Linked DNA regions of Schizosaccharomyces pombe. Changing the gene in region 2 together with the main gene of any one other region gives a genetic interaction. Each region holds a gene or a part of one and is shown on either strand. Other genes may lie near its edges. The genes, in order: pmp1, kin1 and for3.

Region 1 (3,834 bases), 2.2 Mb from region 2:
CAACTAAAGACACCGTGTTGCTGATAAGAAGGGACATCATTTTAACTGGGAATAAGAATAGATACTGATGATGTTGAATAAATATTCACAACCTCATATTAAGTTTAGTAATAATAACAAGGAAATAGCATAAAAATAGAATAATGAATTAGAAAATAACACGACGCACAAATTTCACTCAATAACAATGACAAATGACATGAAAACTCTAGTTTTTTTCATTGGTAAACAAACCGACCCAGAACCAAAGACTAGAAGTAAAAAACTGAGGTAAATACAAATTCGCAACATAGAACGATAAAACATCTGCAAGCTAAGTATTAAACAAGAATTATAACTATACATTGGAAGCGAGCAATGCAAACTGTAAAAAAGTCCATGACGAATGATATGAATAACTGACGAGCGACCCGTAAGTCTTCATAATAAAGTGGATATTTTTTAAAAGCAGCTGATAAGCTTAGAATTAAGACCCATAAGGAAGAGTATAAAAACCAACTTACAACGGAACTTGAATAGACAAAATTTCCCTTTTTTTATGTATTTATAAATAATTGGCATTGTCAAGAAGCATCATTACTTATACTGCCGCTACTTCGAGTTCTTCGAAGATTTGTGAACATACTTGACTCAGACGTGGACGGGCTAACAAGAGGCAGTTGTGCACTATGAGGCTTTTCAGGGAAAAGCAAATTACCTTCAGATTTCCTTTTGGATTGTTTCAAGGATGACGATTGATAGGGACCTTGACTAGAATTTTTACGAATAATTTGTTGATATTCTGAAAGCTGAAAAATCAAAGACATGTTGGGACCTATCCATGGAGATCGTTCTTTAACGTACTCATAAGCATCAGAAACATTTAGGTTTAATGTCTTCATTATAAACGCGATCATCAAACAAGCAGAGCGAGAAATGCCCATTTGACAATTAATTAAAACCTTTTTGTTAAGTTGCATGGCATTGTAAGCTACAAAAGAAACAAGCTTATCAAGTTCCAAAGCAAACTGTGTATCATGATCCCAATGAATGTGAACATATTCGATGTGATCAAATACTTGAATGTCCAGGTTATGTTTAGAATCTCTATAATGACGGCCATCAGTGCGAAATGGATGCAAAACTTCCTTCGCCACGTTTATAACAACATCAAAAGATTGAATAATGGGCATAGTAGGTTTGGCATATAAGTAAATATTTGGGGGATAGATACAAACAGGGCCATTGGGGTACGGCTGATTAGAATTGGGTTTAGATGCTTTCGGGAAAGATGGAGGGACAGGACACGGAGTAAACAATTGTGAATGACTAGCTTCCTCTTCGTTTTCCAACATATTTTTGTGGGAAACCAGGGGAAGTTGGGAGGTGTAAATTTTTAAGGGAGGTAGTTTTTGAGACATTCTCAAAGGAAGTTTTGATCGAAGCGGTTGTAAGGAAGACTCTTTTCGTTCTATATTTGTTGAGGACTTCAATGCACGTCCTTTCGTTTCAATTTGCTCTTCTGCATTTTCTTTCGCTGATTCAGAATTCATTTTGTGAGTTACCTTCAAACATTCATGGCACCAATAACCATTTCAACTTAGCTTCCTCTATAATATTTAACTTGCAAGAAGATAACTGGAGAATACAAATTTTCAGTGTTCTAATAATTGATGATAGACTGAAAAGATGTATGGAAGTATTGTGAGCTCCTACCAAGCTACAGCATTTGATGCTTTTCTACAGGTGACAGAGGTAACGCATTTTAACAAGTTGGTAAACTTGAATATAGAAAGATACTAAAAGTAAATACAGTAACGAGTTAAATTATCTGATTCATTTTATAAATCAGGTGCGAAATAAAGCTAATTAAACACAATGTACCATTTCGTCTTGCGAAGAAGACATCCACTTCCCAAATCTAAATTATCGTATATGGTTAAATAATGAAAAGATCTGCACTGAATTATCAATTTTAAAAAAATAGCATTGATGAGAAGATGAACAAAACCTCAAATTTTAAGACGTTCTCATACTATAAAGTTTGAGCAAGCAATGCAGCAAATAGAGATGCAGCCAGATCCAATAACATTAAAATAGACGTCCTAGTAGGATTAGCAACTTCTTAAAGAAATGAGCGATATAAAAAAAATAAAAACTTGTACGAGAGGGACGACAAATTAAATGATAGCACTCCTCAATCAATGTTTGTATGAACTTACATGTATGAGAAGAACCTGATTTACTTGATAAACACAAAGAAAAATTGATTCAAAATTAAACTTGTAATAGGCCGAACTAGGGGGAAGGAGTGTCTTGAAGAGAAGGAAAAGACTGTGATGCTGGAGACGCCCTCTGGGGGATAATAGGATGAGCAACTCGCAAAGACGTTGGTGATGGATGCAAGCTCGATTTGTTTGTAGAATTCGAGACATGACGGGTTGATGGATCGCTACGGTACCGGAAATGAGATGCAGCACTATACATTTGAGAAGGAGGAGTAGAATGTGTATGAATTTTTGAATGAAATCGGGAATCATCAGAAAAGAGAGTTGTTCTAACATTATGATGAGAAAGTTCATTTGATTGAAGATCAACTGATGGAAAGGGGTCATTTAAATGCAGAGAAGGCCTACCATAACTATCAGAGGCCATACGTTGTGGTGAAGAATCAACAGAACTGGTATAATTCAATGGTGGTGTATGACGGACAAGATCTAAAGAGTTTGAGCTTTCCTGTTGACTCAAAATAGATGCATCGATCGCTTCTTGCACCAAGCCAAGACACAATTCGGCAAGGCTTCGGCATAACGCATCCACCACACTCGATGGAGAGGTGTTTACCAAGGTGATTGCATGGTTTACAGCTTGCTCTACGGGCTTTAAAATGATGGGCGAAGGATGATAAGTGCGAAGCCGCATAAGAGCCGTTTGCATCGTGCTTAGCGGCGCCGGTGAGTGAGGTGAATGAGTAGAGGGTAAAAGAGAAGGGTAACTGTTAGGAGAACGATATGGACTAAGATTGTTATGATAGCCTAAGTAGGAAGAGGGTCGCTCACTGAGTTGAAGCTCTACTTGATTTAAGCGTTCTCGGAGATTTTCAAGCTCCTGAAGCACAAGGTTATTATCTGCAGTCGATACTTTTTCCAAAGACTTTTCAGAAACAAATTTCGCTGCTTTATGCTCCTGTATAGCATTATTAGACTTCATTGAATTCACGTTTGCATCCGCCAAACTCGGCCAAGACGGCGAGTAAAGAGGATTTTCATCTTTTGTAAAAGAGACCCCATTGTCTAAATAATTATTATCGCTATACATGGAATCTTCTAAAGGTTCTGTCATTAAAGATGCGGATCTCATACCAGCGCGCCATGGTGAACCTCTTGGAGTAGATTCGCGCGAATTTGAGGATAATTGATTAGCAGAGGCTTCATAATTAAGAAAAGGATCCTCTGCCACTTCCCTATCAGACTGGTAATTATGTTCAGACATGCGAAACCACCAGCAAGACGCTGGAGGATTAGAATAAACAGTTGCAAGACCAAGCTCGAATTTGCAAGAGATTCTTGCACTCTTGAAAGATAAAGAGTTGAAAGCACGAATTAACGAATAGAGTATGCACTCTGAAAACCTAACTTAACATACTGTCTTATACTATTTAAAAGTAATATTGCAAAACACAGCAACAAGACAGTTCGCTATTAGTTATCATAACGTATTTTAACGGGATCCACGAAGTTTTCCTGAATAAGCTTTTCCCACAGTTCGTTAGGATAACTTGCTAGTTTTTATTAACCGAAGCTTAATTCTAAGCGGCAACTTCGACTGTGCGGGCAAACAGTACGCTTCGTTACA
Region 2 (3,834 bases):
ATATCGTTCAAACGCTCCAAAGCATTAGTCAACGCAAAATGCAAAGAGTCCATCTTCTGGCGTTGAGATTCTACTAGATTAAAAAGCTTTGCCAAATCAGCCTTTATTGCGTTCAAACCTTCAGTGTCAATAACTGTTTGAGGACTAGTATTGTCACCGACGCTTTGCTTTGTATTGGAGGTAGGATTCAAATTTTCATTATTAGATGTATCTGGAGGAAGTATATTGAGGTTCGATAAAGCCACCAAGTCTTTTGCAGACGTAGATTGAGAGGAAACTCCAAAATAATACCCCTGAGGCAAAATGACATCTTTTACTTGAAAGCAGGGCTTGTCATTCACAAATAACTCTAATCCAGATTGGTCACCGTATTTGAGAATAATATTGTTCAAAGCCTCAGGAGAGCTCTCAATGGTACATTTAGCAAAGGGCGGAAGATCGGGGTCAGTAAACTGAGCAAGTTCAAAACTTTTATCATTCAAATAGCCACGAACAAAGATTTTACCAGTTTGATCGATTTCCTGGGAAATCAGAAGGCCGTCCCACTTATCGGAGGCGCCAAAAACTGGACCTTCTGAACCGACAGCGCTTGTATACCAAATCGCAAAAAAGGTGTTTTCGTTCTCTGATACATGAGCTACAAATGAAGTCGATAGCTGCCAGCCAACTTGTCGTAAAACGCTAGTTGACCAAAGGGATCCAGAGCGTGCTTCATTACTGTCTTTGCTGGTTAAGTAAACGTAACCTGAATCTTCATCCACACTACCGTACCATTTCCATTCAACGGGAATGGCGTTACTTAGTGAATGAAGTTGCAAAAACTGAGATTTAGGGACGGCGTAAGCCAATGTACAACAAAACGATAATACATGAAACAGGGAGCAAAACTTCATTTTTCTTTACTTCGTTTAAAAATAGATAAATGAATATTGTGAAAGTATGCCAAAAAAAAGAGAGAGAAACAGAAATTGAAAGAAAGGATTATTTGGTTAAGACCAGGGACTTTTTGCTCTATTACTTATAGAAAAAGATTACTCCAGTCCTTAAATCCTTTAGTTACCGGGAACCAAAGTAAATAGATGTATTTTTGGTTTATTAGTTACCGTCAGAAAGTTTATCTACAAAATTCCGTAAATGTGAAATGACAACAACCGCCAACTCAATCGTAGTAAATAAGGATGATATTTCGAAAGTCACCTAACGAGTAATGTTAGACTTCCCTATATTTAAACATGGCAGCTTTCTGAGCAACTATGGATGTTGCAGTAAAATTGTATATGAATTGGTTTAATTGCTCGAAAGCATTGTTTGTGTGCAATGCAACTTTTCAATGCGAAGTGTATTTAATGATTATAACAAGCAATAAATGTAGTAAAAAAGACCATTTCTCTACTCCACATCAGAGACAGAAACCAGTTTTTGTTTTTTTTTAAATTGTGACTAAAAAAACAAAAAAACAATCAATGAATTAAGAGTACCGTCATGGTCGATGACTAATTTTAGTCGTTAAGAAAATTAATTGATTGTTCCATCGAAATAAATTTCATAAGCTTAAGAGACATGAAAAATACTTAAAACAAAACTCTAGAGTAACTTTAATATTTCGTTAATTTAAAAAGTTTTGACTTGGCACGATAATTCAGATGTATGAATAATGTAAAAACACACGCGTATTTGTTCATTTATGAGGAAACTGTGATGGTGATTTATTCATTGTATTTTTGAATACGCATATATTTAAAAGATTTAAGTATACAATTTCAATTGAGTCGTTTGCTGCATACTAAATCCATTTTTAGATACCATGTTTTTCTCATAACCATAAAGGAGCATGCTTGCGCCTCGGTATATAGCAGTCGTGATCTTTTAAAAGGGTGTGTGGGAAAGGAAAATACAAGTCGATAAATACATGAAATAGATTAAAAAAATAAAAGTTTAAGAAAATAGTAACTGGTAGGCTATTTTGAAGTCTTATCTCTATATAAATCGATACTAAACGTAATGAATGCTTTAGCATGGTGCATTCATCCATGACATCTCCACTGCTGCTTTAACCATTCCGTACAACAACAAAGCCAGTGCATTTGGGTTAGGGAATCCTTCCTTTACAGTTTCTGGCTTCATTTCCTTTTTTTGTAATAATTTAATTGAAAGGAAAGAATTGAAGAGATATTGAATGCCTTAGGGGACGTAGCATAGATTTGCAGTGGTTGTTAGACAGGAAACAAATTGCGGGAAAATCTCAAAGTCGTTTGACTTTCTGTTGCTCAATAAAAGAAACAGGAGACCTGTTTATACTAGAATTTCTCAAACAAGAGTTTTTACGACCGAAAATTATCGAAACAACTATATTTTTTGGTCGTTTATCTTGTTCATCGAAAAAGCTAAGCCGGTTTACCTGTTCTTCTTCCATCTTCCTGCTGCTCTAATAATCTCATTTGTTATCTTTTCAAGCTTTGCTTATTTGTTTTGATTGTAGAAACGGCTTTATCGGCTTGTGAGCATCCTTCTTTTCACAAACAATATTGATTGACTACTAATCCGTTTCTAAGCCACGAGCATTCTTGTAACTAGATCGCTTTGCTTATTTGTTTTCATCTCGTACAAGAATTTCTTCGTCCCTTTATTGTTTTCTTTTTAATTTTTCGGATTTCACGCTTTTTCGTAATATTTGTCATCTTAGGTTCGCAAGGAAACTGGTGCCACGATTTACGATAACAAAGTATTTTTTGTCAACCAAGATTTACACGTTTGTATTATTTTCACAAAGTTATTATTTTATTACATTACTCAGTCGGCTTATTTTGAGTTGATTGCTAATTTTTGCCTCTCAAAAGTTCAAGCAGTAATTTTATATCTGCTTTTTTGTCTGTTGATCCCATTTCCTGATGGAGTACCGTACCAATAACGTACCCGTCGGTAATGAGACAAAGTCTGCCGCTTTAAATGCGTTGCCGAAAATTAAAATATCTGACTCGCCCAACCGTCATCACAACCTGGTGGATGCTTTTATGCAATCTCCTTCTTATTCTACACAACCAAAATCCGCTGTAGAGCCTCTGGGTTTATCTTTTTCTCCTGGGTATATTTCTCCTTCTTCTCAGTCTCCACATCATGGCCCCGTAAGGTCTCCATCAAGTCGAAAACCGCTACCAGCATCTCCTTCTCGTACGCGGGATCATAGCCTGCGAGTACCTGTATCTGGGCATTCTTATAGCGCTGACGAGAAGCCTCGTGAAAGAAGAAAAGTCATAGGCAATTATGTACTAGGTAAAACCATTGGGGCTGGTAGCATGGGGAAAGTTAAAGTTGCGCATCATTTAAAAACAGGTGAACAGTTTGCCATTAAAATAGTTACCCGTCTTCATCCAGACATAACGAAGGCAAAAGCTGCTGCTTCTGCTGAGGCTACTAAGGCAGCACAATCAGAAAAAAACAAGGAAATTCGTACTGTTCGCGAAGCTGCCTTATCTACTTTGCTCCGTCATCCGTATATTTGCGAGGCAAGAGATGTTTATATTACTAATAGTCATTATTATATGGTCTTTGAATTTGTCGACGGTGGTCAAATGCTGGATTATATTATTTCACATGGAAAATTAAAAGAAAAGCAAGCTCGAAAATTTGTGCGTCAAATTGGAAGTGCGCTGAGTTATTTGCATCAAAACTCTGTGGTGCACAGAGATCTAAAAATTGAAAATATTTTAATTTCGAAGACCGGTGACATCAAAATTATCGATTTTGGTCTTTCAAATTTGTATCGACGTCAGTCTCGCTTGCGCACGTTTTGTGGTTCATTATATTTTGCTGCTCCAGAACTTTTGAATGCTCAAC
Region 3 (3,600 bases), on a different chromosome or scaffold from region 2:
TAGTTGAGCGGATATTTCCGACTGAAGTCTAGTAATATCAGCCAAAGATTTCCCTGTATCACGTAAACGTTCCATAGTATGTTCAAATTCTTGGAGTAAAACATCGTTCTCTTGCTCAAGTTCTTGAAGTTGCTGTTGAGTAAAAAATGTTTGTAATTCAGATTCAGGGATCTCAACAGCTGAATTTTCATCAGTAGGATTTTTTGTTAAAAAGTCTGAAGCAATGTTTCGCTTTTCCTGACCTCGTTTTAATCTCAGATCTTGTAAATGATATAGAACAGAAGAAACATCGGAAAGTTCAGACTGCAGATACCACAGAACAGATGAATGGTGGGCGACTAAAGTTTCCTTTTTCGATAATTTACTAGGGTCTCTTAAACCTTGCAGCCAACCACTTTTTTTAGGGATTTGACTTTGTTGTTCTACTCATGCAATTAGCAAGCATGTCCCTGTGTTTTGTTTATAATTTAAGTAAACATAATTTTACCAGTATTAAAATTTTAAGCTTACCTTTCACAATCTCCTGCAACTTAGCTATTTGATGAATACAGCTACTGATTGCCGAAGAGACTTCATGTTCTATTTCATCCCTTTGAACCTCATCTAGCTCAAGCTTTGAAAGCTCCTCAAGTGAACACTCCATTAAAGGTTTTGAGAGTCTTTGGACATTTGAAAATGTTCTGTCCTTTAAATAAGCTCCACGAATCTTTTTCAAAAATACTAGAAGATTAACAATCGTTTCATGCTGCTAACGTTAGCAATTTGAACTCTCTGATTAGATATAGAAAGCAATAACAAAAGTTAATACTGTCAAAAATTTAAACCAATCCCACTCAATAATTAATCGTATATTATGGTAGCGCATCTCCACAGTGATCAATTGAGTTGAGGTTAAATTTCCGATTGGTTCAATAATTACAGAAAACTCGTCCTCAAACTTACAATTCTATATCCTTCAGCCAAAAAAGGATCCGTATAACTTATTCTTTTCAAAGGAATGTTTGCTGCATCAATGTCGCCATTTTTTGTTAATCCAAAAAACTCATTCGTACGACTCGTCATTCAGAATTTGAGATGCTAAGAAAGGAGAAATATAAATCCCGGGTTAAATGAATTTCAAATTAACAGAACAGATGTTTAGAAAATGGTAGCATTCCATATCCCCTTATGAATAGTGACACGGTAAACGGAATTGAGAGACTTAAAGGTGCTCGTAACAAATGTTCAAAAAAGCAAAAAAAAATACTCCATTGTACGAGTTTTGTTTATTTACTTCAAGTCGATGTCTACAATAAATGAAATTAAGCTAAAGTTTCGCAATTTTTGAAGTATTTAGAAATGAGCTATTTTCAAGTAAACAAACAAACGTAACCAGTTATACACCTCACAAGAATGGAGCGCAGTCAAATTGTTTACAATTTTTGAGTTATTTTTAAAAATTTAGCTTGAAAAAAGTTGTTTGTGTCCTTTATCTCGAAGAAATAAGGTTTTTGTTTTGCTGGTGTTGAGGTTGCTATATAATAACATGGTTTGGGCGACATAAATTCATCCTTTACCAACGCTCTTCGAAACGTTAAATTTGCATATTTATCAAGCATTTTATTGCAATAAGGCTAATATTATTAACTTTAATTGATTTTAACCTTCAGTATTTGCTTATTGTTATACAATATACAGTGATTACCCCTTTTTCTAAAAAGCTGTACTTTCGCATCACATCTGATACCTGCGTTCCTTTCAACTTTTTAATATAATCATCCAAACGATTTTAAAATCTGGTTGACATTACCGCGGAGCTTTAAGCTCTGCATTACGATATATTTTCTCTTTCACCAAAGATTGCTTTCTTCCTTACCATTTATTCCTTAATCAGCTTCGTTAGTATCTTTTTTACAACCAAATTACCAGTTTGGTATGTTAATTCATAATGGCATCTAAAATGCCTGAAGGGTCTCCCCCTACTAGTCGTTCTATTCAATCTCGAAATTCCAGTTACTCTACCTCTTCCAACGAACGTATTGGAACACCCTCTACGATTTCCCTATCTGAAAATTCAGATCTTTCTAAATTACAAAGTACTAATGATTTTGAGTCGCGAGAAGATCTCTCTCTTACTTCCGATGACAATAATGACCCCGAATATGTTATGTGCTACAACACTGTTTATCACCAAAAGACAAAAATAAATGATAAACTTTTATCCGAAACTGAGCAGTTACGTAAAATTTATCCTTTAGAATCCCGTGTATTTCCAAAACCTACCATTGTTAAAGAGATTACCAACGAGCGAACCAAGCGCTACACTTTTTATGACGATGATGCTCCTCTTACTAACCAACATACTGTTTTAGATGAAGCAACTTATAATCGAATTTTAAAAAGGATAGACTTTTTCATTGAAAAAGTCGTTGAAGTCCCACCTACTTACCATTTTTTATCGCTATTAAACGTTCAATTACGTATTCAACCAATTTGGTGGATGGATGAATTTGCTGAAAGAAATGGTATTGAAAGTTTACTGTCTGCTTTAAGAAACCTGGGTCACTATCCTGAACGTGCATCTAAAACACCTCTTGAATCCCAAATAATACAGTCATTATTTCACTGTTTGAACAGCGAAAACTGCCGTCGTCGTTATCAGTCTTCAGCTAAATGCTCTGTTCCAGGATTTAATGCTCTAGGTACTATTGCTGAGACTGTGCTTTCAAAAAGTTTAAATTCAGCTCGCATGGCTACTTTTCTCCTTAAATTCCTTTGTAATAAAAAGGGGTTGAGTTACTTCAAAGCTGTAATCAGGGCTTTCGAATGGCTCGTCGAGCAAAAGTTATCAAAAACTCGGTTTAGCGCATGGATGCATTCCTTTAATGATGTGATTACTGGTGTCCGAGTTTGTGCTGATTCATCTCCTCAAGCGATTGTTCACATGGACGAATTTGAAGATACGGACTGCTTGATTGATTACCTTGTTGCAACTTTAGCTCTCATTCGAGATTTATGTGCTGCTCCACCGGATTTGCAACTTAGGTGTGCTCTAAGGCATGAATTGTTATCTGCTGGTCTTCAAAAGGCCATCGACTCTTTGTTAAAATGGAGAAACAGACACGTCCGTGATGCTCTGCAATTACTAATCAAAGAGCATAATGCAGATGCTCGGCGTTTCCGAAGTGGTAGTGATGTGAATAATGTAGATAGGAAATGCGTAAAGAAACAGATGAACTATAGAGAAGAATCACATACACCTCATGGAAATACTACTCGAAAGACCTCTACTCCTGTATCTAATAATCGACCCACAACTCCGGAACAACAGGCTGTTTGGGATGTTTTTCAAAGAATTTATACTCGCTTTACGGGAAGTGAGGGGTCTAAAGAAAGTTTCATTAAACTACTCGAGTATTTTGTGACTGAACCCGACAACGGAAAAATTCAAAAAAGTATGCAGTTATTGACTCACACGCTTGAGGCACTGGAAGGTTTCAAAACTGCCAAAGCAGATACTAATGTCGGTCTAACGATCCTATCTCAAAGACTTTTAGACAAACTTGGTACCGCAGAGGAGATTGCAGAGTACAAGACAAAGTATAATGGAGCCATGCTTGA

The links.
Region 1: mutations in kin1 (region 2) and pmp1 impair growth when combined (synthetic growth defect), as found in Schizosaccharomyces pombe (3 studies listed by BioGRID, with this or other methods).
Region 3: of kin1 (region 2) and for3, changing one enhances a phenotype caused by changing the other (phenotypic enhancement), as found in Schizosaccharomyces pombe (one study listed by BioGRID).

What each region holds. Positions count from the first base shown.
Region 1 is NC_003423.3:494,379-498,212, reverse strand, and holds the start of pmp1 (dual-specificity MAP kinase phosphatase Pmp1), read right to left. Parts: upstream 1,681-3,834; 5' UTR 1,401-1,680; coding exon 564-1,400; 3' UTR 1-563. Other genes in the region: gamma tubulin complex linker Mto2, read right to left, coding at 2,278-3,471. UniProt on the Schizosaccharomyces pombe protein: Dual specificity phosphatase that dephosphorylates MAP kinase pmk1 on a Tyr. Has a role in chloride ion homeostasis by inactivating this pmk1 MAP kinase pathway.
Region 2 is NC_003423.3:2,692,280-2,696,113, forward strand, and holds the start of kin1 (MARK/PAR-1 kinase Kin1), read left to right. Parts: upstream 1-2,052; 5' UTR 2,053-2,888; coding exon 2,889-3,834. Other genes in the region: emp46 (lectin family glycoprotein receptor), read right to left, coding at 1-893. UniProt on the Schizosaccharomyces pombe protein: Has a role in establishing the characteristic rod cell shape. Important for cell polarity and is involved in directing growth to the cell ends.
Region 3 is NC_003421.2:1,001,203-1,004,802, forward strand, and holds the start of for3 (formin For3), read left to right. Parts: upstream 1-1,547; 5' UTR 1,548-1,927; coding exon 1,928-3,600. Other genes in the region: SNARE protein Ufe1, read right to left, coding at 1-422, 511-745, 943-1,062. UniProt on the Schizosaccharomyces pombe protein: Involved in controlling polarized cell growth. Required for interphase actin cable formation and microtubule organization.